Linked DNA regions of Diceros bicornis minor. The protein of the gene in region 4 purifies or fractionates together with the protein of the main gene of each other region. This does not show direct contact. Links are inferred from orthologs where the notes say so. Each region holds a gene or a part of one and is shown on either strand. Other genes may lie near its edges. The genes, in order: SIN3B, SAP30, TNRC18 and SINHCAF.

Region 1 (7,734 bases), on a different chromosome or scaffold from region 4:
GCTTTAATGACACAGCATGCTGATGGTGGCGCCTGCCTTGCGTAGAGAAAAGGCAGAATTTACATGCAAGTCCCTCTCAAAGAGGCACCAGTAGCCTCTCACCGTTCTATTTCCAAATCCTGACTCCCTCATTGATACACACTGCAACCGTCCTCAGCAGAGGAGAAACCTGCAAAATGCTTCCTGCATAGATTTTTACCTTCTCTGCTAAAACCCCTGGGGGTGGGGGGAGGATTTTGCCCCCAGCAGACACTTGGCAATGTCTGGGGACATTTTTGGCTGTCCCCACTGGGTGAGGGCCTAGTGTGTGGACTCAGGAATGCTGCTAAACATCCCTACGGCAACGGACAGCCCGCACCACCCTCACTCCCACCCCGCCCCACTGCCGCAAAACATTATGCCTGAAATGGCAACAGGGCCGAGGTGGAGAAAAAAAAAATGGTTACCCTAGAAAAGTAAAGCTCAAATAGGCGTTCTTTTTCTCAGGGGGTCTGGTGAGATCAAGCAAGAAGGGACTACAGAGGTTAGCTGTCACCCAAGAGAGAAGGACCAAAGCTACAAACCTGAGCTGAGCCAAACGCCCTGTTGGTAATTATTTATTTATTTATTTTCCCCCAAAGCCCCAGTAGATAGTTGTATGTCATAGTTGCACATCCTTCCAGTTGCTGTATGCGGGACGCGGCCTCAGCATGGCCGGAGAAGCGGTGCATTGGTGCGCGCCCAGGATCCGAACCCGGGCCGCCAGCAGCGGAGCGCGCGCACCTAACCGCTAAGCCACGGGGCGGGCAGCACAGCAAAAATAAAAACGGTCATTCATACACGCATCTCAACCGCTTTATTTCTGTGCGTGGCATGGAGGGTGACCAGAGGGACCACATGCCCAAGCACAAGCGTGGCCTGCCTAGCGCCCTCACAAGGACAGCCTCAAGCCAAGCCCTTGGCGACTGTGGATACCGTTATTTTGACTGGACATAAAACTGTGTGAGGAGAATGCCTCCCTGACACACACAAACACATCCACTCTACATTTAAACCCTCCAAAAGGATCAATTTGGGATGCAGAGGCTGCCTGTGGCGGTGTTTTGATCTATTGATCTATTTGTGCTAGAAGCGATTAGCACGCCTAGAAAAACATCAGCTCTTCACCAGCTTTCCGGCAAGGAGACACATGAGGCCCACTGCCTGACCTGAGTACCAGCATGGCCACGTGAGGGCCGAGGTCACTCAACCACTGCCGCTGCATACCTGGCTCGACAGAGGCGGCTGTACGTTTAACTTGCCGTTCTTCGGAATGTCAATTCTGTACCCGAGGGGAAGGAAGGCGTTGAATCCGACAATGAGGTCAGGGTGTTCCTGGAAGAGCTGTGAGACGCGGCGGATGACTCCAGGAGTATCGATGCTGGAACAAAGAACAGCAGTGGGCAAAAGTGTCTTGCGGAGCAAATTACAAGCGAAATCTACTCCCGACTCCTTTGACGGTGCCACGTAACCAGCTTCTGGACTGGGCACGATGCACCCTAAAATGTGACTGGTAGGATTCTGCGGGCAGTGATCTAACATGAGAGCAGCCAGGCCTGGGCTCCCTGTGCCCTCCTGGCGAGAACCACAGAATATCTACACCACACAGCTTCCCCAAACACTCCAAGCACATGAGCTTGGTTCTGAAAATGTCAGGAGTGCAACTGCCAGTCCTGGACTCCAAAAAGTGGCAGGAGGCCAAAGCCTTCTAAGTGATGTGATAAATTCCTTCATTTCGTACGAATTAGGGATCAACAATGCCACAGGAGTTGATCCCAACAACTGAATGCAACACATAAATACCAAACAGCCTGCAAGCGTGGAGTCTGGTAAGAATGCAAGGGCAGAGAGGGGTCGCCTTCATGGCTGCAGTCAAGACCCAAGGCCTTAGCATCCCACTTGCGGAAGGAACCCTAGCCACCCTGCCACATTTCCTCAAAGAGGGCAGCACCATGGTGAGGACGTGACAGTCGAGAACCTGAGAGCCAGAGGACCCAAGTTCCAGTGCCATCTCTGCCCCTAAGGAGGGTCAGGGCAAGCCCCTGGCCCACTCTAAGCCTCAGTGAGCCTTCTGTCAAACAAGGGGGTGATCATGAGGTCCCCCGTCTATCTCTAAACCTACCGATTCTTCACCTACAAAACACAGCTAATGTACTTTTGATCCTTTCTACGTGCCAGGTCTCTTACCGGGCGTTTTATGCACATTATTTCCAGCAGGCCTGATACCAGGGTGAGGCAAGGGAGGCACTCATCTTGGGGATAAGATTTAAGGGGGAGAGGGAGCCAAAACATTCAATAATCAAGATGAATGACATTTTAATACAGTGCGTGGAAAAAAATCAAAATTAATTTAAAAAATTCTTGATGAACAAAATTCATTTAAAAATCAGCATTTTGAGTTACAGATGGGATCCGACCCTGTGCTTGCTGGACCCGCCTCCGTCGCCTCTCCCCGACCCCTGCCCTTCTTCCAGGAAGCCCCACAGCAGCTCCACGAGGGAGGGAGGGGCCTCTCCAATCTCCTTTTCTAGAAGGAACGGAGGCCCCGAGAGGTTCGACGACCTGCGCAAGGTCACCGGGCTGGGGGCAGCGGGGCTGGGGGCTCCCAGCCGGCTCGGTCCGACTGCGGCCTAGGGCGGCCCCCCAGGCAGGGAGGGGCCCGCCGGTACCTCTGGCTTTTGAACTCCTTCATGATCTCCAGGAAGCCGTTGTAAGTGGCAGGGTCGCTGCCGAAGCGGATCTTCACCTGGTCCAGGTAGGTGAGGGCGTCCTCAACCTGCGGGGAGAGGGAGGGTCCCAGTGGGTCCCGGTCGGCGGAGGAAGGAACGAGGGTCCCTGGGGGGGAGGGGGTCAGGCCAGGCCTCCGAAGGCCCGAGGTGAGGGGTCCGGGGGTCCGGGGTCCCGGGCTGCCCAGAGGGGAGGCCGAGGCGGGGCCGGGCGGGGCCCGGGTGAGGAGCGCCGGCCTGGGGGGGCCGGACAACGGGATCCCCCCCGGGAGGGCAGGGGCGCCACTCACGTGCACCGGCAGCTTCTCGTGGCCCGCGGAGCCCGAGCGACCCCAGCGGGCGCCGCTCAGCCCCCGGCCCGCGGGGCCACCGCCGCCGCCACCAGTATGCGCCATGTTGGAAGTCGGAGCCGCGGCTCGCTCCGCGCCCCCCCCCCAGGGCCGGCTGCGCATGCGCAGGCTCTGCCCCGGAGGCGGGGCTTGATGACTTTAAGGAGGGGCGGGGCTCCTGAGGACTTCGCTGTGGGATCTTGCCCCTAAAACCGAAATACTGATTAATGCGGTATGCGGTTTATACAGCACGGTTGGGCAAAGCAAGACGTGCTGCCTGCATTTGTCCGGCCCCGCAAGCAAGCTTAGAATGGTTTTTACTTTTTTTTTAAGTTGGAAAAAATCCAGAAGACATTATTTCGTGACACTTGGAAGTTCTATAACATTCAAATTTCTGTGTCTGTATAATATAGTTTTATTGGCACAAGGCACGCCCACTCGTTTACATGCTATCATCTCTGGCTGCTTTTGCGCTACAACAGCAGGGTGAATAGCTGTGACAAACCCTAAGATCTGCAGAGCCTGATATATTTACTAAAAAACGTTTGTGGACATTTTTATGCAGTGCGTGGAAAAACCCTGTGCTTTATGGGGTTGATGTGACAATGGGGTATGAGCACACAGCACCCTAACATAGGGTCCTGCGCGGTGAAGTTTTGCTGAATGGCTCTTGACTTAGTCTGCCTCCTCCTGTCTTCACTCCCCTCGTCCTGACCCCGTCGCTTCCCCACTAGACCAGTTCAGCAGCCTCTTCACCGGTTTTCCCAGCCCCAGTGCTGTCAAGAACTGAGATCGTTCCACAACTGCTTCCAAACCTCCAAGGTCTTCCTTTTTCTTGTGAGAGAAATCTAAGCACCTACACGCAGCACTGAAGGCCATAAGAACCTGACCCTTGTGAATTTTTTCTTGCAGAATTTCCCACCCAAGCAAGCTGCCCTCCCTATCTGTGCAGAACCTCCTGCCAATGCCTGCCCAGCCCGGCTGCTCCCTGGCCCCATGCATCAGCACATACCATTTCCTTTGCCCTCTTCTATCTCTTCATCACCCAGAAAATACCTAAACATCCTTCAAAACACAACCCAAATGTCCCCACCTTCAGGAAGCTACCCCAGCCCCCCTTTGCCCTCCCACAGTTCCTTGTACATCACCTGCATTTTGTGCTTCATCTCTAACACAAATTCCTGATACAGAGCCACATCAGTGAGCATTTATTAAAGGAATGAACATTCAATCCATGACAAAATGGCATCTCTTTTTGTATGTGAAGAGGTGCAGGAAAGCTGAGTGTACACTGGCAATGAGTGCATCATCTGCCAGGCGCTGTGCTGGGCTGTCAGGAATAGAATGGTAACCAAAACTGACAAGGCTTTTGCCCTCATAGAGTTTTCAGTGTTTCAAGAAGGAGAGGAATCAAATAATCACACACACAAATGTAAAGCTTCAACTGTAACAGACACTTCAAAGAGAAAGTACAAGTGTAACAGTTACTATGTTCCAGTTACTATGGCTGTATAACAAACCACCCCAGATTTAGAGCCTTAGAATGACAACAACGTTCATTTTGCACTCCAATCTGCAATTTGGGCGGGTTTGGCAAGAATAGTTCATCACTGGCCCCTTGGTGTCAGCTGGGTGGCTGGGACTGGAGCCTTCTGAAGGTTTATTCACTCCATCTTTCTGTCAGTTGCTGCTGGCTGTAGGCTGAGACCCATGCTGGTGCTGTTGCCGGGAACACCTACATGTGGCCTCCTCACGCAGCCCCAGTGTCCTCAAAACATGGCAGCTGGGTTCCAAGAACAGTCATCTGCGAGGAGGGAGTGAGCCAGGTGGAAGCCACGTTGCCTTTTCTGATCCAGCCTCGGAAGTCACGCAGAATCATCTCCATTGCAATCTTTGCATAATGACCATTACAAAGTCCCTCCCAAATTCAAGAGGAGGGCAAACAGACTCTAGAACCTGGGGCGTGGCCAGGTTCTGGAATAGTATGGGAGACAAGAAATATTGCCATGACCATTTTTGGAAAATAGCACCTGCCACCCGGGGGACTTGAGCCAGTCTAGCAGGGGATGAGGAAGGCTTCCCAGAGGAGGTGGCATTCTAAGTGAGATCTGAAGGATGCATATGCATTCGCCATGAGAAAAGTCAGAGAGAACAGCTGTGCAGAGGCCCTCAGGTGGGAGGGAGTTTGGCACATGTGAATAACTTAAAAAAAAAAAGACCAGTGTTCTCAGACTGCAGAGGAATGGGAAGGGGAGAGAGAGGGTGCAGGATAAGCATGGAGGGGCCAGCGAGGGCAGTCCACTCATCCTTCTGGGACGAGTGAAGGCTTTTGGTCTTGGCATTTAGCGCTGGTAGAAACCGCATGGGTTTAATGCAAGGAGCTGCGTGAGCAGCTTTGAATGTAGAAGCGAATGCTCCAGCTGCTCTGCAGGGAAGTGATGGGAGGGGCGCCAGGGACGGTGCAGGAAGGCTGTTTCATCCTTTAGGCAAAGGATGCTGGTGGCTTAGACCAGGAAGGGAGCAGTGGAGGTGGAGAGGAGGGGATGGAAGAGAGAGATATTTAGAAGGTAAAGCAGAAATGATGTGGTGCTGGGTGAATGTGCGGGGTGAGGGGAAGGAAGCATCCATGATACTGGCTCCCAGCCCAGGGAGGAATCCTCCCTAGTTTCAGCGCATTCCCATATGAACAGCAGCTAAGGTGGCCCAAACCCTTTGAGGCCACCAGATGTCTGGACAGTCCTTTTCACACTAACTCTGCCTGGCAACCTATCAGTCATTGTCCTGGAGGACCAAAGGCCTGTGTGGGCATCTGACATGCCAACAGGGTCCTCACAACAGTGCCCCCCTTCCCCAAGGAGTGGATTCTGTTCAAATTTCAAGGACCACTGTCAGTTTTTCATACTTTCCATAGATCTCATATGGTCAGAGGAAGCCCTCAGTCATTCGGAGAACAGGAAACCACAAGCCAGTTCCCTGTGGGCACGTGTGTATGCACGTGTGTGTGTGAGTGTGTGTTCAACATGTGGACAATGGTACACATACATTTTTCATTCTTATTTTTATAAAGCATAAAAAGTTGCTAAGTTGAATTTTTTCCTTTACTATTCTCATCTACACAGATTAAATTGAACACCTTAGAGTTGACAGTTTGGATAGACCAAACTGGAACACAAATTTCCTTACCATTTCACAGATTTAATGGCATTAAGATAAGACTCGCAAGTAGGTCTTTCGTTGGACGGTATTTTAGCAAGGTTGAGAGGACAAGATCAAAAGATCCTATTTTGAACTAATCTAAGTCTTCTCAGGTGGTAAGCTTTATGACAAAAATCTCTAAAGCCCAGAATCACGACTTGTGGCAGAATTCTAAGATGGGCCCAGAGAGTCCCACCCCTGGTGTGCATGCCCTATCTGATCCCCCACTCTGGACTGAGATTAGGGCATGCCACATGGCAAAGGTGAAGGGATTTTGCAGGTGTATTTAAGGTCTCAAATGAGTTGATTTTGAGTTCATCAGAAGGGAGATTATTCTGGGTGGGCCTGACCTAATCAGGGGAACCCTTTAAAAGACAGTCTGAGGTCAGAGCCTCGCAGCAGCAGACAGGTGTGACCCTCCTGGCCTGGAAGGAGGAGGCAGCTGTGTGGGGAGATGCCTATGGAGAGAGGAAGCCTCTGGGAACTGAGGCTCACAGTCCTACAGCTGCACGGAGCTCACTTCTGCCAACCACCTGAGTGATCGTGGAAGGGGTTTCTAAGCCTCTCCATGAGATTCCAGCCCGGATGACAGCTTGTGAGACCCTGCACAGAGAACCCAGCCGTACTGTGGCTGGACTCCTGACCCACGGGAACTGTGGGATGATAAATGGCTGTTATTTTCAACTGTGGAGTTTGTGGTCATCTGTTATGCAGTAATAGGCAACTAACACTCCTATGAAGTAGCCTTGTCACAAATGTTTCCCCTCTGATTATGATGTGTCCATGTGGGTTCATCAAGGGTAACTAATGTAGCACTTGTAGTGGGGGAGGCTCTGCATGCATGAGGCAGGGCCATATGGGAAATCTCTGTACCTTCCGCTCAGTTTTGCTGTGAACCTAAAACTGCTCTAAAAAAGTCTATTTAAAAAAATCTTTACCCTGAATCTAATCAAACCTTAAGATCAGGGTCAGCACACTTTTCTGTAAAGTGCCAAATGGTAAATATTTTTGGCTTTGGGGCCATACGTTCTCTGTTCCTGTAGCATGAAAACAGCCATAGGCAATAGGTACGTGAATGGGCATGGCTGTGTTTCAATAAAGCTTTATTCACAAAACAGGCAGTAGGCCTGCAGATAGTAACTTGCCGACTCCTGTTCTAGAATAGAAGACTAAAGAGATAACCAAATCCTAATTAGACCCTACTTGAAAGAAACAGCTATAAAAGAGGTTTTAGGGCTAATTAGGAAAATTAGGGATGCCTATTTAAAAGATATTAAATAACGATTGTTAGTTTGCAGAGGTGTGTGTGGTTATGTAGGAGAATGACCTCCTTCCTAAGAGACCTGTCCTGAAGCGCTTGGGGGGTGAGGTGTCTCCGTGTCATCAGGGCTGGAATTAGGGTGAGGCGAGTGAGGCAAGTTCATGCAAGTGCAGGATCAGATGCCATTTTTATTTAAAATGTTGAC
Region 2 (7,402 bases), on a different chromosome or scaffold from region 4:
GCTTAGAGGGCCGGCCCCGTGGCTTAGCGGTTAAGTGCGCACACTCCGCTGCTGGCGGTCCGGGTTCGGATCCCGGGCGCGCACTGAGGCACCGCTTCTCCGGCCATGCTGAGGCACAGTCCCACATACAGCAACTAGAAGGATGTGCAGCTATGACATACAACTATCTACTGGGGCTTTGGGGGGAAAAAAATAAAATAAATAAAATCTTTAAAAAAAAAAAAAACTTTAAAAAAAAAAGAATATGCTTAGAAAACTACACACAATCCATTGAATAGTCACTATGTAAAGGAATTTTCTAAGTGCAAACATTTCTAGGCAACTAGATTCTTCCACAATAGATTTTTTATTAACTTTGATCTTTCTAACTAAAATATATTACTATATACACTACGTTAACAATTTCATTAGCATTTAATGACCCTTTTTGCATGAACAGGCTCATTTAAAGTTTAAATAGTTTAAAACTCATATATACCTCAACAAGTTGCGCTTTATTAAGTCCTGGTCTGGTTGGCAGTTTGAAGTGTCTTTTGTATCTCCTAAGTGTATTTACTTGTAATTGGTATAAATCGACCTAGAAAAAATTAACATACGTGAATTAGTTCACAGAATCTGTTAAAAACTTATCTTTAATATGTATAATAACATTTCAATTTCAGCACAATAAAAACTTGATTCCATTATTAAAAAAGCTTTTTATACAATCAAAACTAAAAATGTATTAAACACTTTAATCTTTTGAGGATAAATAGTAAAAACTAGGGGCAAAAAAAAGATGTAAGACAACGCAGCTATGAGGTGTCAATTGAAAATATAACAAGTAAAATTGTGTAACTGCATGTTAACTGGCTATATTTAATTTTGCTTTCATTTTCAGATTTTTCAAATGCTTTAAGTATTTAAAAAATTTGTTAATATCTTTTTATAAAAGTTTCAGAATGGACTACTTAGGATTTACATTTAATATCCAAAAACTTGCATCTACCTCTGGAGTATCAATATCTTGAACAGGTGAATCTCCTCCATCATCATCACTCCCTTTTCTCTTTCTTCTGTTTCGAACACTTTGAATTAAGTTTTTATGATAATCACAAATGTAAAGATGCCTTGCCTGAAACAGAAAATTTCACAGACTACTTATGATTACAATAAAATGTTTCTATATATTTAGTAAAATACATAGGCCACAGTGAATTATTAAAAATAAAAACAACAGTCAAAACAAGCCATTAAGACAATGGCATGTTTCTTTCTATTCTTAAGTCCTGCACCCAGCTAAAACATACTAAGTCTTACAACACTGTTAAGAGGATTGGGGGGTAGAGTGGTGAGGGGTGACAGTAAAGGAGGGGAGGCAGGTAGAGGAGAATGAGAAATTTCAACCCTCTGGATTTAATCATCAAATTACAGTGAAGGTGAACTAGATTAGTTAGGTCATCCTGTTTTATAACAAGGGGAAAGATGATGTTGCGCACCATTTCGCTATTTGATAGTATTTTTTTCTACTTAAAGATCATATTTTAGTAGCATAATGTATGCTTCCTCATCTTTCTTAATACTCCGATTACAATCCAGATACAGAACTATCCATTTTTACAAATGTTATTGATTTCATATTCTAACTATATTTAAATTTGAATTATAAACTTTTCTGAGTATTAAATGTTACTTATCTGTATTACGTTTTTCCAATCAAAGCAATGTGAAATCATTCAAATTTACCTGAAAAGTTTCTCATGAACACGACCGAAGAACTAACTGTTTTAACAGGCAGAAAGTATCACAAATAAACTCTTCAAAAACTTTCATTACATATAGTCTTGAGAGCTGTATAGTAACATCTGAAACACGGAGCTTCACATTAACAGTTACTCTTTAAAAACCAATTAAAGACCGAGCTAATAGGCTTTTAAATTAACTTCTAAGCTATGTGCAAGTTAAAAATATGCCGGGCGTGTGCTAGGTTCTGACATCTTGTTATTCCTTTACCGCCAGGCAGAGCTCCGAAAACTGGCAATGGTTATTTCTAAAAACCTCTTTAGAGGATCAAAAGAACAGACGTGCAAAGGACGGAAAAGAATCCTGATGGCTGCCGGCGGACGGCAAACCCGCAGAGGCTACGTGCTCCGCACGTTCGGAGCGGCTGCCCCAGCCCCAGATGCTGACACCGCCGACACAGTTCACAGTCCTGGCTCCCTGCGAGGCGCCGGGTGAGCTCGGGTTCGTTCTCACTCCGTGCTCGGGGGAACGAGGAGCGGGATCTTGCTTGACTGCGGGGTCAGGTCCTTGCGGGACTCCACTTTCCCTAGACGAGGGGAGCTACTCCCTGGTGCCAAACGCCAGCTTGGGCAGCAAAACAAAGAAGGCGCCTCCATTCCAGAAGGCGCTGCCGGGCTGCAAGAAAACTACTCCGGGCGGTCCCCTTTGTTTCGTTTCCCGATCTCCGCGGACGAGGAAGGGGAAGACAGAGAGCGGGAGAGGCAGGGAGCGGGGGGGATGGGGGGAGGAGCGGAACCGCAGCGTGCAAGTGTGCGTGTGTCTGTTGGGGGTGGCGGTCGGAGTTGCAGCGACTTTGTTTGCTTCCTACCAGAGACCCCACAACGTGTTCGCACTGCAACCAGGTCCGGGGGGACCCCTGAAACCCCCGCCCAACAACCCCCGTCTGCACCGCTCCCGGAGCCCCAAGGGGGCGGGCAGGGCAGTCCCGTAGTCACTTACGCTCTTATCCAGCTCGATCTTCACCTTCTTCTGGGAGATGCTCTTCTGGATCCTCTTGCTGAAGCTGGCGTTGCCCGCCGCCCGGCCGCACCGCTCGCCGTCCTCCCGCAGACAGCACAGTTGCCCGGGGCCCGGCCCGGCCGCTCCCGGGGGCCCAGCCGCCGAGACCGCCCCGGCGCCGGGGACCTCAGCCCCGGCCCCTGCCCCGGCCCCGTTCCCCGCCGAGGCGGCGGCGGCGGCGGCGGCGGCAGCGACCACGGCGGCCACGGCGGCGGCCGCGTCCCCGCCGCGGCTCATCTCCTCCGGCGTGAAGCCGTTCATGTCTCTGCGCTCAGGGGCGCCGGCGCTGAAAGAAATCCTCGCCCGCCTCGCCGCTCCCTCTCTCTCCAGAGACGCCGGGGTCTCGGCGGGGTCCCTCAGGCACCTGCCCGGCGGCGGCAATTCACTCTGCACCTCAAGTCCTCCGACAGCACAGCACAACACCAAGTGTCCCCGGCCTGCTGGTGTCTGCCGATGCCGGGTCAGTGGACAGGGCTTGGGGTCGGGAACTAGCGTCGGGCGGCGCCTGGAGCCGGGACCCCACTCACTGTCACATGGAGACTCTTCAGCAGTTGGACCACAGCGCCTCCGCCTCCCTCCGGTTGCTCGACCTGCGCAAGCGCGAAGCGCCCTCTCCCGCCCTCTCTGCAGCAGGGCACCACGGGAATTGTAGTTCTCTGCAGGGGAGTCAACCTGAGCTCTGCTTTAACGCCGCGCGTCGCGGGTTGGAGGAACTACTTATCCTAGCATGCATCGCGCGACGGCGGGCCGGGTTTTTTTTTTCCCCCTTTTTCTTTTTTAAGCTCGGGGAAAATAGGGGCGTGTGGTTGTGGTTGCGTTGTTTTCTCTCTTCTTATCTCTCCCGGGGAGCTGTGTTGTGTTTAGCTCCTGGGATTCTGCAGAGGTGGCATTCTAGACAAAGAGGTCACTCAACTCCTGAGGCGAAGCACAAAATGCGGGGGGAGGAGAATAAGCGTGTGGGAAAAAGTTTCGGGGCCGTTTTTCTATCTGTGGAAAAAGAGTTTTTGGTGCGACCATGTTTTTGTGGGAAACTCAAACCAAAGAGAACTCAGGCGACCTGGCGCTCTTCGGGTCCTGGAGGTCCGGCAGCTAGCTCCACATCTGGCTGGCAGCTCCATTCATTGACGCACCAAATTGCTCAGAGCGCCTGCTTACGGGAAAACGCCCATCCCGACCTCTCGCCCTCCAGATGCCTCCGCTAAAGGCCGTTTCTAAATCCTTGCACGTTCCTGCAAGGAACGCGTTTTGTTCGCGGGCGCAAAGTCTGCTGCTTCCTGAGGTGGAGCTAGTGACTAGTTGACTGTAACAGGGCTTCTCTTCGCCTCCACCCCCAATCTTTTCAGTTTCTCCTCGAATGAACCTGGAGAAAGGCGGAGTCTAATATCATTTAAAAGGGGACGCGGAACCCCACAAATACCGAGTTAGCCTGAGTGCTTCCTAGAAACTCCCCAGCGTTCGCTCTGTGAAGCGAGAAGAGAGAAATAAGCCACATTTCCTCGGTGGTCCGCACGCGCGTGTGCGCTTGTGTTGCATGCGTATGTGTATGCATGTATGTGTGTGCGCGTATGTGTGCATGTACGTGTATGTGTGCGCGTTTGCGTGTCTGTGCGTGCGTGCATGTGGACGTGTGCTTGTGGAGGGCGGGGTAGAAGGATGGGAGCGGCTAATATGAATGCTGCGGTTGTGCTAGTTACGCTGCGTCGTTATTTATCGGTAGATATATGCTGTTAACAATCCCATTGTTTGAACAAAAATACAAAGCAGTATTATTTTGCAAGTTCCTGTAGACTTACAGAGTAAATTTAGTGATAGACGATTTTTTTTTTTTAAACGTATAATGTCATCTGCCCTGAAATTTAAAGCCACCCGTTCCATCTGTGTGCTTCGGTTCTAGGCTATGGCAAAGGAAAAAAAAAAAAGAAAGAAAGAAAATATTACGTAAATTGAGTAAGCAAAAGAAAAGCGCTGAATGGTAAGTACTTTGTGTTATCTTTTTACGCTGCTCTGTCCAATAGGGTGTCCTCTAGCCATATGTGGCTATTGAGCGCTTGCAATGTGGTTGTTGTAACTGAAGAACTGAATTGTTAATTTAATTTTAATTAACTTAAATTTTAAAAACTGATTTCAGTTATTGGAAAACTTTTAAGTATATTTGGAACAACTTGGATATATGAATCTGTTTTTTCAACTTAAATTTTATGTAATCTAAATTTAAATCTAAATCCAAATTGAGATGTGCTGTAAGTATAAATTACCAAGGGGATTTCAGACTTAGTACCAGAAATTTTTTAAAAAAAGAATATTGAATAGCTTATTAATAATTTTTATATTGATTACATGTTGAAATGATAATATTTTGGATATACTGGGTTAAATGAAATATAACATTAAAATAAATTTTACCTGTTTCTATTTTTTTAAATATGGCTACTATGACATTTAATATTACACTTGTGGCTCACATATTTGTCTTAGATAATGCTGGTTTAAAGTATTAAAACAGAATAATACTATCGTTTATTAATATATTTTCTTAAATGGTAAAAATGAGAGCATGTGGAAGAGATGGATATGCTCCAAGGGTGGTGGTCATCTCTAAGGAGAGAGGCCAAGGGATAGTATCTGGGAATCAAAGGTGGTCTCTATGGTATTTGTAAGTTTTTTTTTATTAAAAAAACATCTGAAACAAATATGATATTGGGTTGTTGGATTTTCATTTTTTCTTTCTACTTTTATGTATTTTTTAAATAATTCATAATTATTGTTTGGTTCTTGCCCTTAAAAGTTTATAATCTATCTTCTGCAAAATGTGATCAAATTAGTTCATGTATATACTGTATGTATGGTTTAGTTACGTATCAGTTTCATATGAATTTTACTAAAGTGATGAATTGTAGTTATATGCTTTCTTTACATACAATACAGTCTTTTCAAAAGGTCCAATTAGGGCCGCCCTGTGGTGTAGGGGTTAAGTGTGCGTGCTCTGCTGCTAGCGGCCCGGGGTCAGATTCCATGGCCCGGGGTCAGATTCCATGTGCGCACTGACGCACCCCTTGTCAGGACACGCTGTGGCGGGTCCCAGAGGAAGATGGGCACGGATGTTAGCCCAGGGCCAGTCTTCCTCAGCAACAAGAGGAGGATTGACACAGATGTTAGCTCAGAGCTGATCTTCCGCACACACACACAAAAATAAAAGGTCCAATTAAACTCTCCTTTATTGCATACTAGGATCTTTTCTAGGCCTTGGGGATACAAAATTAATTGGGAGAGGGTCCTAGCCATTTTGGAGTTCTCTGTTTAGTAGGGGAGATGGGTAGCTTAACAAGCACATGATACATGCTGCTGTAGACTGAATGTTTGTGTCTCCCCAAAATTCATATGTTGAAACCTGATCCTCAAGTGATGATATTTGGAGGTAGGATCTTTGGGAGGTGAATAGGCCCTGAGGGCTGGAGCTCTCATGAATAGGATTTGAGACTCAGAAAAGAGGCTCCAGAGAGCAACCTCATCCCTTCCACCATGTGAGGACACAGTGAGAAGACTGGCAGTCTATGAACCAGAAAGCAGACTCTCACCAGCCACAAATCTGTCAGCACCTTGATCTTGGACTTCCCAGCCTCCAGAACTGTGAGAAATAAATTTTTTTTGTTTATAAGCCACCCAGTCTATGGTATTTTTTTTTATAGCAGCCCAAACAAAGACACATTCCTCAATAAAATTAGAGAGACTTAGCACACAGGAGGAAATGATTCATTTCTGGCAAGTAAAAAGCATTCCTGGAGTAGATGACATGTAAATTCTCCATGCCGGATTTAAAGTATTTCTTCTGTGAATCTATTGTCCATACAAAGAAATTTTCATAACAACCGTGGTTCATTGTTTATTTCTACAACTCTTCATATCCAGGGCAGGTAAGAATTCCTTGCTTTAAGAATAATTTACAATCAAGGTTGGAACCACGTTTTGGGAAGCTTCAAGCTCATAAAATTTGAGTCTTTAAGAAAAAGTATATAAAATTAAGAATGCAAAATTAGGTACAGGCCTGTCCAAGTGAAGGACTATGAACTTTACATCCATTAGCTTCATTATAAATGTACTTCAGAGTAGATAATATGGAAATATAGATTTATGAAACCTAAGTTATAGGAGGGTTGTTGATATCATCAAAATATTCTTTGCTTTCTGAAAAGATTCAAAATATGATTCTTTAAAAAGTATTTTTCCCTGCCTTTCTTCTCTCTAAGGCTTTTAACATGATTGAATTTTTCTGGTTTTATTTTTAAATAAAAAATTAAATGTAAACAATTAATTGTAAATTTTAACTTACAAAAATATCCAAATTGGCCCATAATCCTAATATGAACATGATTTTAAGTTCAAATAATAAAAGGTTCAATATGAAAAACAGAAGCCTGTTTCCCCTCATCTCCTCAAATCCCTGTCCCTAAAAGCAAGCAATGTTAACAATTTCTTGTTTCCTTCTAGAAAAAAATTATATGCATATACCAGTATGTATGTATATATATGTTTTTTTTCAGCTAAGGATCACACTGTTTTACACTATGCTTTCTTTTACCTAGTTTAAAATATAGCAAGCGTACCAAAAAAGTGCATAAAACGT
Region 3 (7,905 bases), on a different chromosome or scaffold from region 4:
CTGAGACCCCGCACCGCACGAGTGGAAGAGCCAGGAACGGAACTCCGGCCCACCGGCGCCAGCAAGGGCGTTTGCCAAGAAAAGGATTCGAGTTCGGGCAGCAGAAGTCTCAAAGGATGTGGGGCTGGTTTGTTCTTTTCTTGCCCAGATTTTAAAAACTCCAGCCCAAGCTCGAGCCGCAGGGGCTCGAGGGTTGGAATAGTCCCTAGTGGCTCCGATTTCGCCAGACACGTGCGCCTTGGGAGAGACTGGTTCGCCTGGGAAGGCAGCGAGCCGCGCGCCCCTCTCCGCCGGGGCCTCCGTACTGGCCTCTGCTCTGAGCCCAGGGGTCTCCCTGCCCCGGGAGCTGAGCCTGCCTGCACTCCCCTGGACCGGCTAAAGGAGAGGGGGGCGCCGCGTCCCCGTCGCAAATGGCTGGGACAGGCCGAGTAGTTTTTCCCAGGTCTCCCTCCCCAAGATCCCGGAGGGAGAGGAAAGGACGAGCATAGCGCAGGGCACTTACCCGGGTGCGGGTGGAGGTTGAGGCCGGCCATGTACTTCCCCGGCGGCAGCGGGCCGGGCAAGCCCGAGGCGGGCAGGCGACCGGCCGTGGCCGCACCCACGCGGTGGCTATCCATGGCCAGGCTGGACAGCAGCGGCGGCGGGGGGCCGTGCACGGACCGCGGGGGCCCGAAGTCTCGGCCATCCATCCTCCGCGGGAGTGCCGCGGCCAGCCCCCCACCCGGCCCGAGGGCCTCGCTCAGTGGGACCTAAAAGTTCGGCCTCGGCGTAGTCCCAGAGTCCTCGGGCGGCGGGGGCTCCGCGGCGTGCATGGCGGCGGCGGCCAGCGGGGCTTGCGCTCGGCGGCGGGCCCGCAGCCCGGGGCGCACAGACGGCTGGCGGTGGGGCCCCTCCGGGCGGCCAGGCGGAGCTGCGCAAGGCAGCGCACACGGCGTCTTGGCGGAGAGAGGAGACGGGCCGCGGAAGAAACAGAAGGGGACAAACGGGGGGAAAAAAAGAAACAAGTTTCAGAAAGTCGTCTTAACGTTCGGGATCGGGGGCTGCCAATCTGGTGGCCAGAAATGAAATCGAGAGTAGCCCCTTTTCCATAAAAAGTAAAAATCCATGTTCCTTCCTCCGGCAGCTTGAGGCTCCCGGGGATCCGACTCAGAAGTGCCCGGTGGCGCGCTGCGCCCCTGCCCGGACTCTGCCTCGGCGGCTTACGCGTCCTCCCGAAGCTGGGGAAGGCCCCTCGGCCGCGCCCGGACTTAATAAATACAAACCTCCGAGTAGGTTTGATTTGTCGGCGTCACATGCTCCGGGGTTTCAAACCGTAAAACCTTTCCATGAGCAGTTTGAAATGTCTCTCTAAACACTATGTCACTGCCTGATCCGGAAAGTTTAATATTTAACCTTTGCGGGCCTTCGCCTCCCTTTTCTGAGTTTGGTTTCCCCGAGCTCGCCTGGAGCCGTCAAATTCGTGGGGTTTTTTTCGGAAGAGAGGTGCAAAGCGAGCTTGTTATTTTTAAGGAGACTCGCCGCTCCTTCCTGCCGCCCCCTTTGGGCCACTGGGAGTCGCAGAGTCTAGGTCCAAGGCCCCGAGACGTGGCATTCTCGCCCGAGGACTGGCAAGAATCCTTCAAAACAAGCTTTGGTTTCATTTTCCAACGCCCTGGCCTGGGAATCCTGCGGCCCGAGGACGTGGCCTGGTGCGGGGGATTTAGGGGGCGTCAGAGGGGAAGGAAGGGGCTCAAGGGTCTCGCTCCTACCCCAGCTTCCCCCCAACCCCAAAAATAACCTACAAAGGAGAGCTTCGCAGCGCAGGCCGACCGAGGGGCGCCTTCCCCAGCGTTGGGTAAATCCCCCTGCAGTTCCAGTTTAAAGCTGTTTGTTTAAAAGATTTGTCGTTTGCCGATTCCCGTGGGGGGGGGGGGTCTCGGAGCCAATCCCGCCCTCGCTCTCCGTCTGCCCGCAGCAGCTCGGATGCCTGATTCCGGGAGGCCCGGACGCTCCTAGAGCGTTGGATCACGCCAAAGCCACCGGCTCCCGGGTGCCCGCCCTGCGCCCTGCACCCCGCGAGCGGAGCCCAGCCCCCCGAGCTGCCGACCCCCTCAGCCCAAAACCCCCCAGCCTCCTTCTCCAACTTTGCTAAGGGTGCTTATTTTTACCCGGTTTTGGTTACAAACACCCCCTCCTTCTCTCCCTCCCATCAGGCTCTCGTTACCAGATCCGCGTTTACTTTGGAAAAATCTAAGATCGCCACATCCGAGGATACATGTCCTAAGGAGGCGATGAGCTTTCCGTGATTTTTTAAAAAATGTTCTTTATGTAGCTTTCTTTTAAAACCCAGCGCTTCGGAGCATGCCCCGGCGCCCCACTTCGGGGAAGTCGGGGTGAAGCCCCCCGAAACACCCTCGCTCCGGCAGAAGCTGGCTCGGCCATCTGCGGGCTCCGCTGCGTTCTCCCTACTTTTCTCCCCCTCTTAAATGCAGTTAAAATGGCTGAATTCCGGCTTTTAATTAAAAACAGCCTATAATCGAAAACGTCTCGGCGTCCCTGGCTCCCCCGCCGCCTGCTGGGAACCGAGAAGGGAACCGACGCCCCTCGGCCCGGCTGGGCGGGCTGGAGCGGGGCTGGGGGTTCAGGTGGGCGCCCGGGGCGCAACGGCCTGCCCCAACCCCTCCCAGGGCGCCCCCACCTCGCCGGCCCTGGTCCCCGATTCCCTTCTCGGCGGTCGGAGAACTGCGGGGATCCCCGGCGCACCCTGAGGGGGAGGCAGGATGGAGGACCAGCTGGAGAAGTTTGGAGACCATCACGCCCGGCCAGCGGCGGGCGGGCGTCCCGGCGGCGTACCTGGCGCGGCGGGGCTCCCGGGTCCGGGCTCTGGCGACGGCGACTCCCGTGGCGGCCCCGGCTCCCGGCGCGGCTAGGCGCCCGTGCTGCCCGCCATCCCGCGGCCGCTGCTCCCCTTCGCCACCCGCAGCCGCCTCACACTTTTTGCCCGCCTTTCCTTTTTTTGGTAGAAAACCGCTCCCCGGGCCGAGCGCTCGGCGCGCCAACTCCTCCGCCCTCCCGCGGCCGGGCTCCCGCAGCCCCCGGAAAAGCCAGCTTTCCTCCCGCCGAGCTCCCCGCTTTTTAATAAAATCCAGGTAGCGCCGGTTTAAAGAATCCCAAATCTCCATATACAGCCCGGGATTGGAAAAGGTACATTACACAACCCCCCTTTCAAGTTCCTCTCGCTGGATCTAAAAAAAAAAAAAAAAAAAAAAAGCCAGCGCGGGGGGGAAGGGGCGGCTGGGGGAGGGGAGTACTCTCGGGCGGCGAAGAAACACGCATTGTTCCCCGGCGCCCGCCTCCCCCCCAGGCCGGCCCCCGGCTTCCACTCATTGGCCGCGCGCGCCGCCAATCACGCGCATGTAAACACCTTGGCCCTCAGCCATTCCTATAAAACCAATTACGGACCAAGGGGCTCCAGCAGTTTCCAGGCTCCCCTCGGCGGGGCTGAATGATCAAAACTGGTGGTGAGAATTTTTCCGGGCCGTTTCTAGGCAGCCCTCCCCCTCCACCAGCTCGGACCCCCCCTTCCTCCTTCTCCTCCCTTTTTCTCCCCTCCTCCCCCAGCGTCTGGGCTGAGCGATCAAAATAGAGGAAGATGGTTGTCGCCGCAATCCAGGGCTTTGCAAGGCGCGGTTTAATGGGCCGCCTGTCAGCTTCCTGCTCGCAGGAGGAGGTGACAAGCCGAGCGGGCCGGGGAAGGGCCTGGGGCCTGGCGCGCTGTACCCCACTCCGGGGCCCCAGCCCCCCACCTCCCCTAGGGCGCGCCTTCTAGAACGCGCGGCGGAGACGCCAAAACAGACAAGGGCTGCTTTTTCCCTTTTTCCCCCCCTCCCTTTTAAAACAAAGCAGCGATTCATTCCCTCTTCCCGAGCAGCGCGGTTGGGTGGGATGGGCAGGCGAGAAGGCCGTTTTCCTAGCCCCGGCCTGCGGGTCCCTCCCTGAAACGCGGTGTCAGATGGTTACTGATTAATATTTTGGAGAGGCCGCGGCGGCGGGCAGCGGGTGAGTCTCTAATCTTCTAAAAGGGGTTCCTATAGAAACGCGGGCCGGGGCGCGCCCCCTGCTTGGCCCGGGCCGGGGCTGCGGCGCTTCGCACAGCGCGCCCCTCCCCAAAGCTCTCTTTGCGTGGGCGCTCCCCTCCCCTTCTCTCCCCCCTAAAAAAATCAGAGCAGAAAAAAAGGTTTAGATCGGCTGAGCGCGAACTGACTCCCTCTCGATTCTGACATTTCAGCCTATTAGCATTTCTCCACGGGGCCTTCTGAAACCTATTAAAGTGTAATATTAAAAACCTCTTGGCTGGGGGCCTCTCTCGCCTTCCATCCGCCGCGCTCCCTCCAGGGAGGGCGAGACCGGGAAAAAAAAAATCTGTTGAGCTCAGAGGAAGCAGCGGCCAAGCCCAAAAAGTGCTTGGCTGGCCGCGGCGGCCGAAGGGGGAGGGGAGCCCCAATCCCCCAGACTTTGTACTTTTATTTTGCGCTTTCAGCAAAATCCTTTCTGGGTTGAGTCGCCGGGAGCTGCCCACGGCAACCTTCTTGGCTGCGGGCGCGAGGAGTGCAGACGCGGTCAGAGGGGCCGCCCTGGGGGCCCCGCACCCTCTCTCTGCAGCCCCGCGGGAACCCATGCCCGGCTAGGCATTACGTACCCTCAAAAAGAAGCTTGGAGGGGCAGAAATCCTTGCCGATCCTGCCTCGGAGAGCAACCGCGGTGATTAGATTTTAATTAAAAACAAGAGAAGCCCGCTCTTTCGCCTCGCGATGCGGACTCAGCGTTTTCGCATCGCTCGTTCTATTTTTTTTTTAAGACATTTTTAAGGCAACTTTTCTGGAAGGGAAAAAAATGAGCTAGTTAGCGCCCATTCGTTCTATTTTCCTTTCTCCACTTTTAGAAAAAAAAAGGGGGAGGTAGGCTTCGAGAGTGAACTGGGGGTGTCTAATTTAATTCCAGTATAAATTTGAGGAAAAAAGTTCGGCCTCTTGAGGGCAGTTTCAAGTTGCCCTTCCTGGAGCCTCCTGCGCTGGTTTCTAGGCTGCCCTCTTTTGGAAGCTGGAGCTCCGCGGGGGGAGGAGGGAACAGTGAGAAGGAAAGAAAGGAACGAAAATAGCTGAAGCCGAGGGGAACGAGCGGCGGTGTCCGCGCTTGAAGCAGGGCGCATGGGTCTCAGTAGCGGCCAGGGCGGTGGTGCAGCCCCGGGACGGCCAGGAGCAAAGACGGAGAGGAGTAGGGGGTTAGAGAAAGGAGGTATTGTGTCTGTGTGCCTTGGGGGAGGCGGGGTGACTGCAGGAATATAATAAATGCAGTTGAGCTGCGCGGGGCCGCTGGAAGCCAAGGCAGGGAAAGGGGCCGTGCGTGGGGGCGCAGCCCGGGTGGGCGCCGAGCGTCCTCGAGTCTTATCCAGAGGCCTTTGTGGGTTCCTAGTAAACCCTCCCACAGCCGGCCCCCATCGCTTCCCCACCCCCCTGGTTGCCCTCCAGTATTCGGAGCCCAGACTCGGATCCCTCACTCCATTATCCCCGCCCTGGATCTGGAATGTTTTTCTTTACTTTAATATAGCTCAAGGAAAAAAAATGTATCTTGAGCGAGTTCGGGTGGGGAATACAAAGGGCTTGAGGGGTGGAAAAAAACAAAAGCCTATTTTTATAAATGTTTAATGTTTTCACCCCTGGATGCTCCAAGACGCCGTAATTGTGACGGCGGGGTATGTGTGCCATAAATCATTTAGTTGCTAATAAAAATTCTGCCTGTTTGCCCTGGATTTGCCAATGGCGTTTGCATTTTCCAAGTGTGCTCCTTGTCGGCGTGGCCAACTGAGCCTGCATTTCATTAGGGCCGAGGTTCGGGGCAGGCAAGGTCCCCTCCCTCAGCACCCCCCGTCCCCGGCCTTTGTGGGCCCCAGCCCCCGTGCGCCCCCCTCCCTGCGCACACACACACACACACACACACACACCCCGGCAACCGCTCGAGCCCCCACGCCGCCAGAGCCCAGCCGGGGCGCAGGGCCTGGGGATGCGGCGGTGGCTCTCCGTTCCCGGCCGCGGGGCGGGGCGCGCAGAGCGCACCTTTCCCCGGGCTGCAAGCGTGCTGAGGGTGCGCGCCCTGATCTTCGCGCCCTCCCTGGCCCAGCACCCTGGTGCCCCCGCAGTCGCGGGTAAACAGCGGCCGGGAGCCATCTTGGGGCGGGGGACGGATCCCAAGCCGAGTGGCGGGTGTGCTCCTTCGGAGACCCCTGCCTTTCGTAGGGGGCCTCTGGGGCATTCCTCGCTGGGCTCTGGGGTCTGGGGAAACGCCGTCCCCGCTCTGGTGAGCCGCATTTAAACGTGAAAACCGGGCCTGGGAGCCCTGCGCGGAGCGGGGAACAGCCCCGCCGTCCGCCCGGTCCGGCCGCCATCTTCCGTCCCCCTCCCCCCCACACGCTTGTTTACCGGCGGGATCAGTGGCCAGAAAGAGTGTGTTGACGCACTGTGTGTATGTGTGTGTTTTCGTACTGACTGGGCGGAAAATCGGCTGGATGGGGGACCTGGCAACCCTGAGACCTCAGTTGCCGAAGAACCCGCCCAGGCCAGCGCCGTCAGCCGCGGCCAGCCTGGGCCGCCGGAGCAGAGGCCTTTTGTGTGTTCCTAGTTCTCTGACTCCGTGGACGCGGCCCGACTGACAAAATTCTTCCCCTTTGTTTTAAAACCAAAGTTCAGGCCAACTTTGCGCCCGGCTGCGCCTTCGCCACGCGGGCTCTGCCCCCGAGCCTTGGTCAGTTCTGCTCTATTCAGGGCCGAACCCGGCGCTTTCCGAAATCCCACTGTTGCTGGCTGCGTGGACACGTTTTCCCCATACCCCTCCCCCCGAAAAAAACCATCATCCTTTACTAGGTCAGGACACCCGAGCCACCTCCACCCGTCACCCGAACAGCCTTTCCCGGTGGGGACCGAAGTCCCCGCGCTCCGCCAGCTTCTCGGTGAAGGGGACCTCGGGCGATCGCCGGCCCCTGCTGCCCGCTCGGGAAGCCCTGGCCGCGTCTTTTAGGCGCCAGTTTCCAGGTCCGGGAACCATGGCGCTCCCGGCCCGGGCACTGCTAAAACCCGGAGAGGCCGCGCCCGGGACAACCATGCTCGCCGTCCCCTTGCTGCGACTGGTTCAGCCGCGATTCGGCGCCGAGCCGAGGGTCGGCCAGCCCAGCCGAGAGCGGCCCCGACTCGCCAGAAAGACCAGGGACGCGGCGCGAGAGCGCCGCACGCCACGGGGATCAGGGATCACGGCGGGCAGACCAGGGGTGAAGCGCCAGGCCCGGCCCCAGCGGATCCCTGCGCCTCTCGGCTCCGCCTCCGGCCTTGGCCTCTTCCTCTGGCCCGGGTCGGGTCTTCCACTCCACTGTTTGGCTCGGAGAGGACGGAGACGAGCTCGGTGCGCCGAGAGCCGGCAGCGGCCATAAATCTCCACGAGCGCCCTCCTTCCTGCTGCTCACGCGCGGGTCCTCCGGGCCAGCCTCGCGTCCCGGGCCGCACCGGGCGCCCTGCTCTCCCGGTCACCGCCTGGGGGCCCTGAGACTGTGCAGGGAGCCAGGCCAGCAGTTTCCCCCGTTCGCCAAAGAGAGGGAACGGCCCCATCGACTCGGTGCCACCATCATCCTTCCCCGCAGTCGCCGGACCCCGAAGCAACCTGGGCGTCACCGGATCGCCGCCTGGGGTAGGGGTGCTGAGCCGGGCACTTACTCCTGGGAAGGCTCGGTGAGGCTAGGGTGGGCGCGCGACCACCTGCCTGAGCCCAACTCCAAGGCCACTCGCACCATCGAGGGGCGACGCCAGGGTCCGGGTCAGAGCGGCTTCTCAGAACTCAGCGCCCTGCCCCGCGGGGTCTCCGAAGACCCCGTCTTAATCCCGC
Region 4 (8,409 bases):
AAGCACAGAACAGATTTCAATTTGTATGAATTTTTTGGTGTGTGTGGGCATTGCATCCAAGAATATTATTTTTCTGTAATGACCACTTTTAGATTCTAACCCTTAAACATGATCCAAATGCAGGAGAAATCCGGAAAGAAGCAAAAGACATGGTGCTGCTTATCGGATGTCTAGACTGCAGGCAAACCCCAAATACCAAAGAAGCATCCATGTGTCAAACTAGCATAATTTTTGAGCTATGCCTGGGGCCACATACCAAAAAAAAAAATTAGCTTGAAAAAAATCTAAGAGGGGTAACCAGAAGGTCAACCCCAGTTCACAGGAACTAGGAAGAAGCTAGCAGGGATAGCCAGCCATTACCTTGTGTCATCCCCTCCAGCAGCTTCCTCCCTGCCCCCATAAAAATCTCCAAGGCCCAACTCCCTTTTGGCTAGCTTCTTCAAGGTCATCCCGAGATAACGCAGTGAACAATTACCAAATACCGAGCCAGGCATACCTCTAGGGCCAAAAAAGATCCCCCTTCCCCAAATCATTATATAAATACTTTAAATGCCATCAGGCTTTTCTCCAACTCCACGAGAGACAACTCCCAGACTTTTAATTTAATTTAGATTGAGCAAGTAATAAACTGTTCGGTTTTGCAACAAAAATTATTGAAAGCCTTTTCAAGTCTGGCAAACTCCAGTTCAAAAACAGGTGCTTTCGGGATACTTTTAATGACAAGGTCAAATTCATTTTTTTAATTATTAAAAGAAAAACGGGGGGGGGGAGTTTTCTTAACCTTCCTTAGGACAACGTGACGAGCAGGGGGAAAGGACTGCTGGGGTGAAACTGTCTCGCCTAGGGTCCATGTTTGGCTAAACGGCAATTCCTAGTCTTCCGAGTGCCTGTAGTCACCGAAGGTTAGAGCGAGAAAATAAAAACAAAGAAACCTACTAGGGTCATAGTTACCAGCACAAACTGCACCACCCTACCACCCCAGAAACCACCCCACCTCACCCCCAGCAACCAAAACAAACGTCGCCCCTCCCGGTTCCCCCTCCCACACGTCCACACAAAGAAAAAAGCACGCACAATTCGGCCACAGTCCTCACTTCCCTTTGTAGGACAACAGGGAGCCCCGAAACTTCCCCACGGTGGTTTTTCGGGTGTCGTCGGGGCAGGGTCCCCTGAACGTCCGGGCCACGGCTCGGCTGCGGGGGAGAAGGGTGATCGTCGCCCTCGCCGGGTTCCCCGAAAGCAGCAAAACGCCTCCCCCGTCCTCCCACCGCCCTCGGGTCCCCCCGAACTGCGCTTGTCCCTCGGGCACGCGGTGACGGCCGCGAGAGAGGCAAGAAGGCAGCGACTGCAAATGCTCCCCGGGGGACGTGTTGGTAAAGAAAACAACTTGGGTCGGGGAGAAAGTTGCGGTGGAGAGCTGCTCGCGGGGCGCGGGCGGCGGGAGGCGAGCCGCGTCCCCGGCCGCCGCCCCCCTCACCTGCGCCGGAACAACGGGCCCCCGCGCCCGCCCGCCCGCCCGGCGCCTCCCGCAGGCCGCGCCTCCCGCACGCCGCGCTGCCGAGGCTTGTTCCTCCTCATGGCTTTGCCCTGACGTAATTCAAACATGGCAACAGTTCGACTTCAAAGGCGAGGCCACAGACCTCCCAGACACAGGCTCCGGGCTGCGGGTAACGGGCCGAGACTCGGGGCCACGCTCGCCCGGCCCCCCGGCGTCGCGGCAGCCGGCGTTTGCGCCGCAGCGCCGGGGCCCCCGCCCGCCGCCCCCCGCGCCCTCCCGCCCGCCCGGAGCGCGGAAGCACGCCGCCTCCCCGCGCACCAGCATGGCACCTCACACCGCAGCGCCGCCAAAGTTTCCCCGCGACGGGCCGAGGGACAAAAGCCCCTCCTGAAACTCGCCCGAACTTCGGGGGGCCCGGCCCGCACGGCGCTGCGCCCCGAGCGCCGGCGGGGCCCGCATGGGCACATGCAGCTCTTTGTTTTCTGTCCAGCCGGGCGCTGCCTACGTGCAGCAGCGGGGATGTCGGATTGTTTCTCAGGGGCGAGACCCTGGACGGTCCCCCCGGGGAAGGGGCCGGACCCCGCGCCCCGAGAGCCCGGAGCCCCGTCCTCCCCTCGGCAGCAGGCCCATTTCATCCAAGTTTTGCAATGTCCTTGATGAGAAACGCCCAGATGACCCGCCCCGCACCAGCGGAGAGTTGGCGACTTTCACTCTGCTTTTTAAACTGGCAAGACGCCATCATCGGCAAATCACATTGTCCGGCCGGCCGGCCCCGACAGCGGCCGCAGCGCACGGCTGACCCGGAGCCGGACACTGAGCCAGACCTCCGGCGAGAACCGGGGTCGCAGCCCCAAGCACGTGGTCTGTCATGTTCCGCACAAAAAGCAGTGCCCTGCGAGTTGTCTCACTCCTTCCGCGCAGACAACGCCGCCGCCGCCTCCATCCCCGAGTCAACTTGGCTCGGACTGGCCATCTTAAGCCGCACACGGTCGCCGAGCAAGCCGTGGCCGTGGCGCCCACATCTACGCTACAGGTGAAGAAATTGCGAGCAAAACTTGAGGCTCCGCAGCCACCTCGGACCCCCGCGCTGTTGGGCGCGGTCCGGGGGAAAAGGCGTCTGGGAGCCGGGGCCGTTTCCGAGCGGCCGCGTGTTGCTCTCATTGTCGCATCCGCATCCCCCCGGAGTTGGGCAAACAACGCCACGCCGCGTGCACTCCGGCAAACCCCGGCGCGGACCCCCAAGGCCGATTTAAACCCCCTCCCGCCCGCCAGCTCGCAAGTAGACGGCAACTTAGTTTTCGAGCGAATGGCGTTTATTGTCCACCCGTATCAAAACACGCGCAGGGGCTGCAAGAAACTCCACCACGAGGTGCAACAACGGCGCCGACCACTCCCGGGGCGCGCGCCCACGCGGGTGCACCGACCCGGGGCCCCTCCGCAATTGCCAGCGAGTCGTTTTCTCTCGGGCCTTTGGGCCACCGGGCTCCTTTTCGCCAGAGAACACTGCGGCTGAGAAAAGTCATTGTCACCTTCAACGTGGATCCCTCAACTCCAGCGACTCCTCACTCATCTCCAGGCGCCACTCACTTCCCCCACCCAAGACTTTCGGTTTCCCTCAAAGACCCTCCCCAATTAAAAGACACACTAAACCTGGGTATACAAAACATCTGGGGTCTGAAGATCACGAAAACAGCGTCCCCAGCAATGCCACCTCCAAGACAAAACTTCCTGTGTGTGTGTTGTATGTGTGTGTGTGGAAGGACTGGGGGAGGAGGGTGAGGTGAAAAAGAGAAAAAAAAAAAAACACTCAAATCAAAACCTCGTGAGACAGTTTTGCACCCGAGTCATGGTTAGAGCCACTCACCTTCCAAAAGCAGCCGTTCCACGCGCAAGAACGTTCCCGAGGTGCGGAATGCACGCCAGGCCAACCCCCCCTCCAATCGCTCCCTCCTCCTCAACTGCCTTGTCTAGAAAGATTGTCTCCTGCAGTTCTGCAGTTGCTACCGCGGGCCGGGAAGGTGTAGATTCCGCTTTCCCTCTGCGCACGCGCGGCTCCCGGTGCAAAATTCTCCTGAATCGAACTTATTTGCATACGGGGGCGCGCGCGTCGAGGGCTGGGAGGGGAGAAGGCCCGGCGGCCGCGCGCGTTCCCGAGGTCTCTATTGTCCTTTTAAGGGGAGAAGAGCCGCGGCGCGGGAAACGCGGCGGCCAGAGGGAGACGGGGGCGGGGACTGCTTACTACGGCTGACGTCACGTAAACAAACGCCCCCTGGCTGGAGGCCGCGGCGAAGGGGGAGTGGCGGGATGGGAAAGGCGGAAAGGTTAGCAACCCAGGGACAACGCTAGGCTGCGTGACGTGCTATCCGCCCTGAAGTTCTTAGGGCGCACCATTTCGCGTTGAAAAATAGTTTTGAAAGCTGTTTTTACAAGATTCTCACACCTGTGTCCAGTTTCTGGCCTGAGGTGACAGGGAAGGTGATCTTGCAAGCACCCAGACTGAATTTATACGTCTCCCACTTTTCCTAAATTGTGTTTGAAGTTGAGTTTTGAAGCTTTTTAAAAAATCCTCTGGGACCAGCAGAGGTTTATTTTTCGTGCAGTTTTAATGAGTCATTTCATCAAGTCCCTTTTTGACACTCTATCCATTCACAAACTCCCGCCTGCCATCCTCAAACAGTAACCCAACCCATAACAATCCAATTTTTTTTTTCTTCACTTCGGCCCTAAGATTACAAGCCTGTCGAGTTGAATGGTTGTTAATTTCCGTGGGAACAGTGTCGCTTTCCTAAAGACTAGTCAGTGGAAAGCCAGTAATCTGGGGACGTGCATACCTCCTCCAGCTGCTTGTAAAGGGTGTTCCACTCGCCCAGAAATAATACCACTCACTGGTGGTCTTGGGAATTGAGGAAGTAGCCAGTGAAGTGCAGACTTCCCCTTATGGAATGTGTAATAAGCCAACAATCTAAACACTTCTTGCCCCAGGAGGGGAAAAAAAAATGAAAAACTGAAGTAACTCTTCTCAGATTGATAAGTGAAAAATGAAAAACGATTGTGATACACCTTTATTCCAAAAACACACCTCACATCAATAGGCTGAGACCCTGATTTAATAATAGCGGGAGGGTGGGGAAAGAGGAAAGATGTTTCTCTAAGAAACTTACTAGTCCCAAGCTACAAAAGTGTGGACATCAGCCATAAAACTTAATCATCTGCTGACAAGTTTCACTGCTTTCACTGTAGTGTCAACAATATGGATTTAAATAGATACTTCTGGAACACTAATTTAATTCAACAGCCGATTCCTAGTACATACAAGACAAACCCACTTCTGAAGTTTTCAACCAATGCTTTTTTTCTTTAGGTTCTGTAACATACTATTTCTGTAACTGTATATGAAAACCATATATTAAATACCTGCAAAGGAGAAAAAACTGACGCCTCTCACTAAAATGTGAGCTTCCTAAGGGCAAGAATTTCCTATTGTATTCATTTTTGTACTCCAGTGCCTAAGACAGGGCACAGCAGATAATGGAGTCTGAATAATTGCTTGTAAAATAATAAATCAATGGACATGTTCAAATGTATTATAGATTTATCTCAAATCAAAACAGCTTTACTTTAGTTTAGAATTTTTGAATTGAACCTAAAATGAGTTTGAAAGTTATAATGATCACCTGGATTGATGTGATGCCTGTCTTTATTGTAACAAATAAAGCAGAATAGGCTTAATAACTATTTCTGGGCTTTCATTGGTGGCAAACAGGACCCTGAGCGTAAACTCTTACTTTCTTCTTTTTGAAGAGAATTTTAAAAAGTTGTCCTGAGCACTTGTTTGGTTTATGATAGATCCTCCAAAAATAATTTCAAATTAGTATATGCTTTTGAAAGTATGAAAATTGCAAGTATAATATTTTTCAAACTTCAATTATTGCTTACTGGATATATTTATATATTTTTTATATATATAAAAATATATATATTTATATAAGATATAAAGCTGTACCTTGAATGCCTTTTCTCTTGAAAGTTTAGTGAAGGATACATATTGTAATCCAGGGATGGAATGGGTTCAAATGTGCAAGCAATGAAGGAATTACAGTATTTAGGATATACTGTTCAGATAAGAAAGTACCTGGAAGCTTCAGAGGTACCGAGCTAATACCATACAGCAAGACTTCCTCTGCTCTCCAAGTAGAGGTCAAGAAGTAATCTGGGTAATTTTTGTAGGAAAGGTAACAACAAAATCCGAGAAATTTGAGTTCTTCAGACTCTTAAAAAAAAAAAAAAATCCCTGCTGTTTTTGAACAACCAGGTGCATTCCAAAGTTTCTTTTGTTCATTTGGTTGCTTGAACATGTCGTTGTGGCTGGCTCTTTCCAGGGCCAATAGCTCATTTATGGGGTACTTTAAAATACTATTATCTAAATAGCCCAAGTGAATTTTTCACCATAAAAAAAGAAAGGAAGAAAGAAAAGAAGTAATTTATAATATATAAATTTGGATTATAGGAGATTGAATTATACCATGTTAGGAAAATTGAGGGTTTTTTTTAATGACTGTAGTGCTATGTTGCACTCACACTGAGTTCTCAAAAATATTGAAATTGAAAATATAGTAAAAATTGAAATTGAAATTGAAAATAAGTTGCCAGATACTCTGGATAAGCCAACTACCTTGCTTATAACATGTTGTCCCTGCTGTAGAATTATCCATAATGCTTGAATCTTTACATTCATTTAGCAAACATTTAATGATCATAACTATGTGCCAGATAGTAAAACCATTTCAGAAGTGGAGGGGCTCAAGTCCCCTTCACCTCTTCTAATTTATTTCTATATAATTGTATTTTATTTGCTACTTTTTCTTCTGTAGCATTTATTGCCTTCTTTTGAGACTTAACTATTGTCAGCAACTGTACAATTTATTATAATATTCTTGGAATGGAGGATGAATTACATATAAAGGACTGAAAAGGACAATTCTTGCTTGGTAACGAAGGATATTATCAGCAATTTAGTAATGTTTGTAATGACAACTCAAACTAATGATTGTTTTTAAATAAAGGCTGATACCCTCATCAGACGCTGGTGCCAACCACATCAAAACATTTTTGTTGAGCCCAGGAAAGAGCTGATTATTATTATTAAATATTGGGTTTGGTTCCTTCACAGGTAATAGCTATAAAACTAAACCTTTTCCTTACACCAAAATGAGCACAGTATTGTGTTATTTAAATCCTTTTGATGTTCAACTAGCAAGTAGTCAGAGCAAATCAGATAATTTTAAGCTATAAGGTATAGAATTGGACATGTGATCTAAGCAATCCTCCAACAACCGTTGACAGCTGCTGCAAAAAGTTATCTATTACATAATCAAAATTAACTTTTCAAATTTCTGCACTTAAAGAATTGTCACAATTTTATTCTTAGAAAGAGTAACCTCTGAATTTATAGAAATTTTAAGTCATACTATCTTATGACATTATGACATCTTAAGCATACTATAAAAAAATCAAATTACTGGTAACAAAAGTAATTTTATTTTAAGAAGGACATTGACAAACTAGAATGAGTTCACAGGAGAGTAAATCAGGATGATGCAAGAGCCTGGAAACCACAGCATAAAAGCAATAATTGAAGGAGGGGCTGTGTTTTGATTGAGCAAGAGAGCAATCTTTGACTATCTGAAGAACCATCATTAGAAAAACGAATGGGCTTGTGTTTTTATGCTTAGGAACCAAATCAGTCTTGAAAATCGTAAGAATATAGATTCTTGCTAAACATCAGAAAAATTTCTAGACATACAAATGGTCCAAGGAGGGTTCAGGATACTTCAGAATGCAGCTGCCCATCACTAATGATGGTATCACAAAAATAAAACCAAGAATTTCATTTCAATGAATTACGTTATTTGCAGTATAAAGCTTGCTACCTCTAAACTCCTATTGAACTCTATGGATCTGTGATTCCATGGGATAAATGAGTGGTACCAACAATAAGTGCCTCAAGTTTGGGCAGGGATTTATCACTGTGGCTGGAGAGGTTAGGAAAGTCTTTTTGGAGAGGATGGGATTTGAACTTGGACATGAGTTTGTTCATTCATTCATTTAACAAATACTTTTGAGTATCTACTAATTGCCAGGCTCTGACAATAAAATGATGAACAATGCAGAAACAGTCTTTCATGGAATGTGGGAGGCAGGCGTTCCAAATAACCACACAAATATAATTAAAAACTGTGAGAAATAAAATTAAAAAAAGTAGTGTGAGCCTAACCATGTGTGGCAAGGGAATCTGATCTAATCTGGAGGTAAGAGAAAGCATCTTTGAGGAAGTGAAGTTGAATTATCAGCAGGATTAGATGGAGAATTGAAAAATGGAAAGAGGATTGAACCGGTGGCAACTTCAGGAACAAATTCATAGAAACAGCCAAAGTACTTGGGGTGGTGAGGAAAGGCACAACTAGGAGAAGAATCATGTCTTTGATTGAATAAATGTCATACATGAATCCTGTTTGAGGAAGAAGATAGTGTAAGGTGTTGGAGACCAAGAGAAATCGGGATTTAAGCCCTACAGATCTGGAAGTACCTACATTTGAGTTGGAAGTAGTCACATGCTAAAAGTACCCCAGCGACAAAAATCTATGATTAGATTACAATTGGTTTAATCAACATGTGTTTCTTCTATGAAAATTTATTTTTCTAAATGTCAATAAGAAATTGATCCCCCAGCCATGGAATCCACTTCCCGGAAGATCCACTGTTCTAATTATTCATCTCATTACTGAAGGCAAGCATGCCACATCATCAACAGATGAACAAGTGCACAAGCAGACACATAAAACGGAAAGTCAAAGAAACATGCTGGGTCGCCGTTTCTAAGAGCTTTGGGAATAAAATATCCAGGATTCTAG

The links.
Region 1: the proteins of SINHCAF (region 4) and SIN3B purify together in Homo sapiens (affinity purification with mass spectrometry; 3 studies listed by BioGRID and IntAct, counting the BioPlex papers as one, with this or other methods). This does not show direct contact. The link is inferred for Diceros bicornis minor from reciprocal best matches to the Homo sapiens genes SINHCAF and SIN3B.
Region 2: the proteins of SINHCAF (region 4) and SAP30 purify together in Homo sapiens (affinity purification with mass spectrometry; 4 studies listed by BioGRID and IntAct, counting the BioPlex papers as one, with this or other methods). This does not show direct contact. The link is inferred for Diceros bicornis minor from reciprocal best matches to the Homo sapiens genes SINHCAF and SAP30.
Region 3: the proteins of SINHCAF (region 4) and TNRC18 purify together in Homo sapiens (affinity purification with mass spectrometry; 3 studies listed by BioGRID and IntAct, counting the BioPlex papers as one, with this or other methods). This does not show direct contact. The link is inferred for Diceros bicornis minor from reciprocal best matches to the Homo sapiens genes SINHCAF and TNRC18.

Annotation. Positions count from the first base shown.
Region 1 is NC_080759.1:4,917,120-4,924,853, reverse strand, and holds the start of SIN3B (paired amphipathic helix protein Sin3b), read right to left. Parts: upstream 3,150-7,734; 5' UTR 3,140-3,149; coding exon 3,035-3,139; intron 2,795-3,034; coding exon 2,688-2,794; exon of another isoform or gene 2,537-2,687; intron 1,400-2,536; coding exon 1,246-1,399; intron 1-1,245.
Region 2 is NC_080750.1:59,892,607-59,900,008, reverse strand, and holds the start of SAP30 (histone deacetylase complex subunit SAP30), read right to left. Parts: upstream 3,338-7,402; 5' UTR 3,043-3,337; coding exon 2,722-3,042; intron 1,115-2,721; coding exon 989-1,114; intron 578-988; coding exon 479-577; intron 1-478. UniProt on the Homo sapiens protein: Involved in the functional recruitment of the Sin3-histone deacetylase complex (HDAC) to a specific subset of N-CoR corepressor complexes. Capable of transcription repression by N-CoR.
Region 3 is NC_080765.1:9,769,016-9,776,920, reverse strand, and holds the start of TNRC18 (trinucleotide repeat-containing gene 18 protein), read right to left. Parts: upstream 3,226-7,905; 5' UTR 2,833-3,225; intron 936-2,832; 5' UTR 690-935; coding exon 503-689; intron 1-502.
Region 4 is NC_080756.1:32,380,135-32,388,543, reverse strand, and holds the start of SINHCAF (SIN3-HDAC complex-associated factor), read right to left. Parts: upstream 3,492-8,409; 5' UTR 3,363-3,491; intron 1,175-3,362; exon of another isoform or gene 1,075-1,174; intron 1-1,074. UniProt on the Homo sapiens protein: Subunit of the Sin3 deacetylase complex (Sin3/HDAC), this subunit is important for the repression of genes encoding components of the TGF-beta signaling pathway.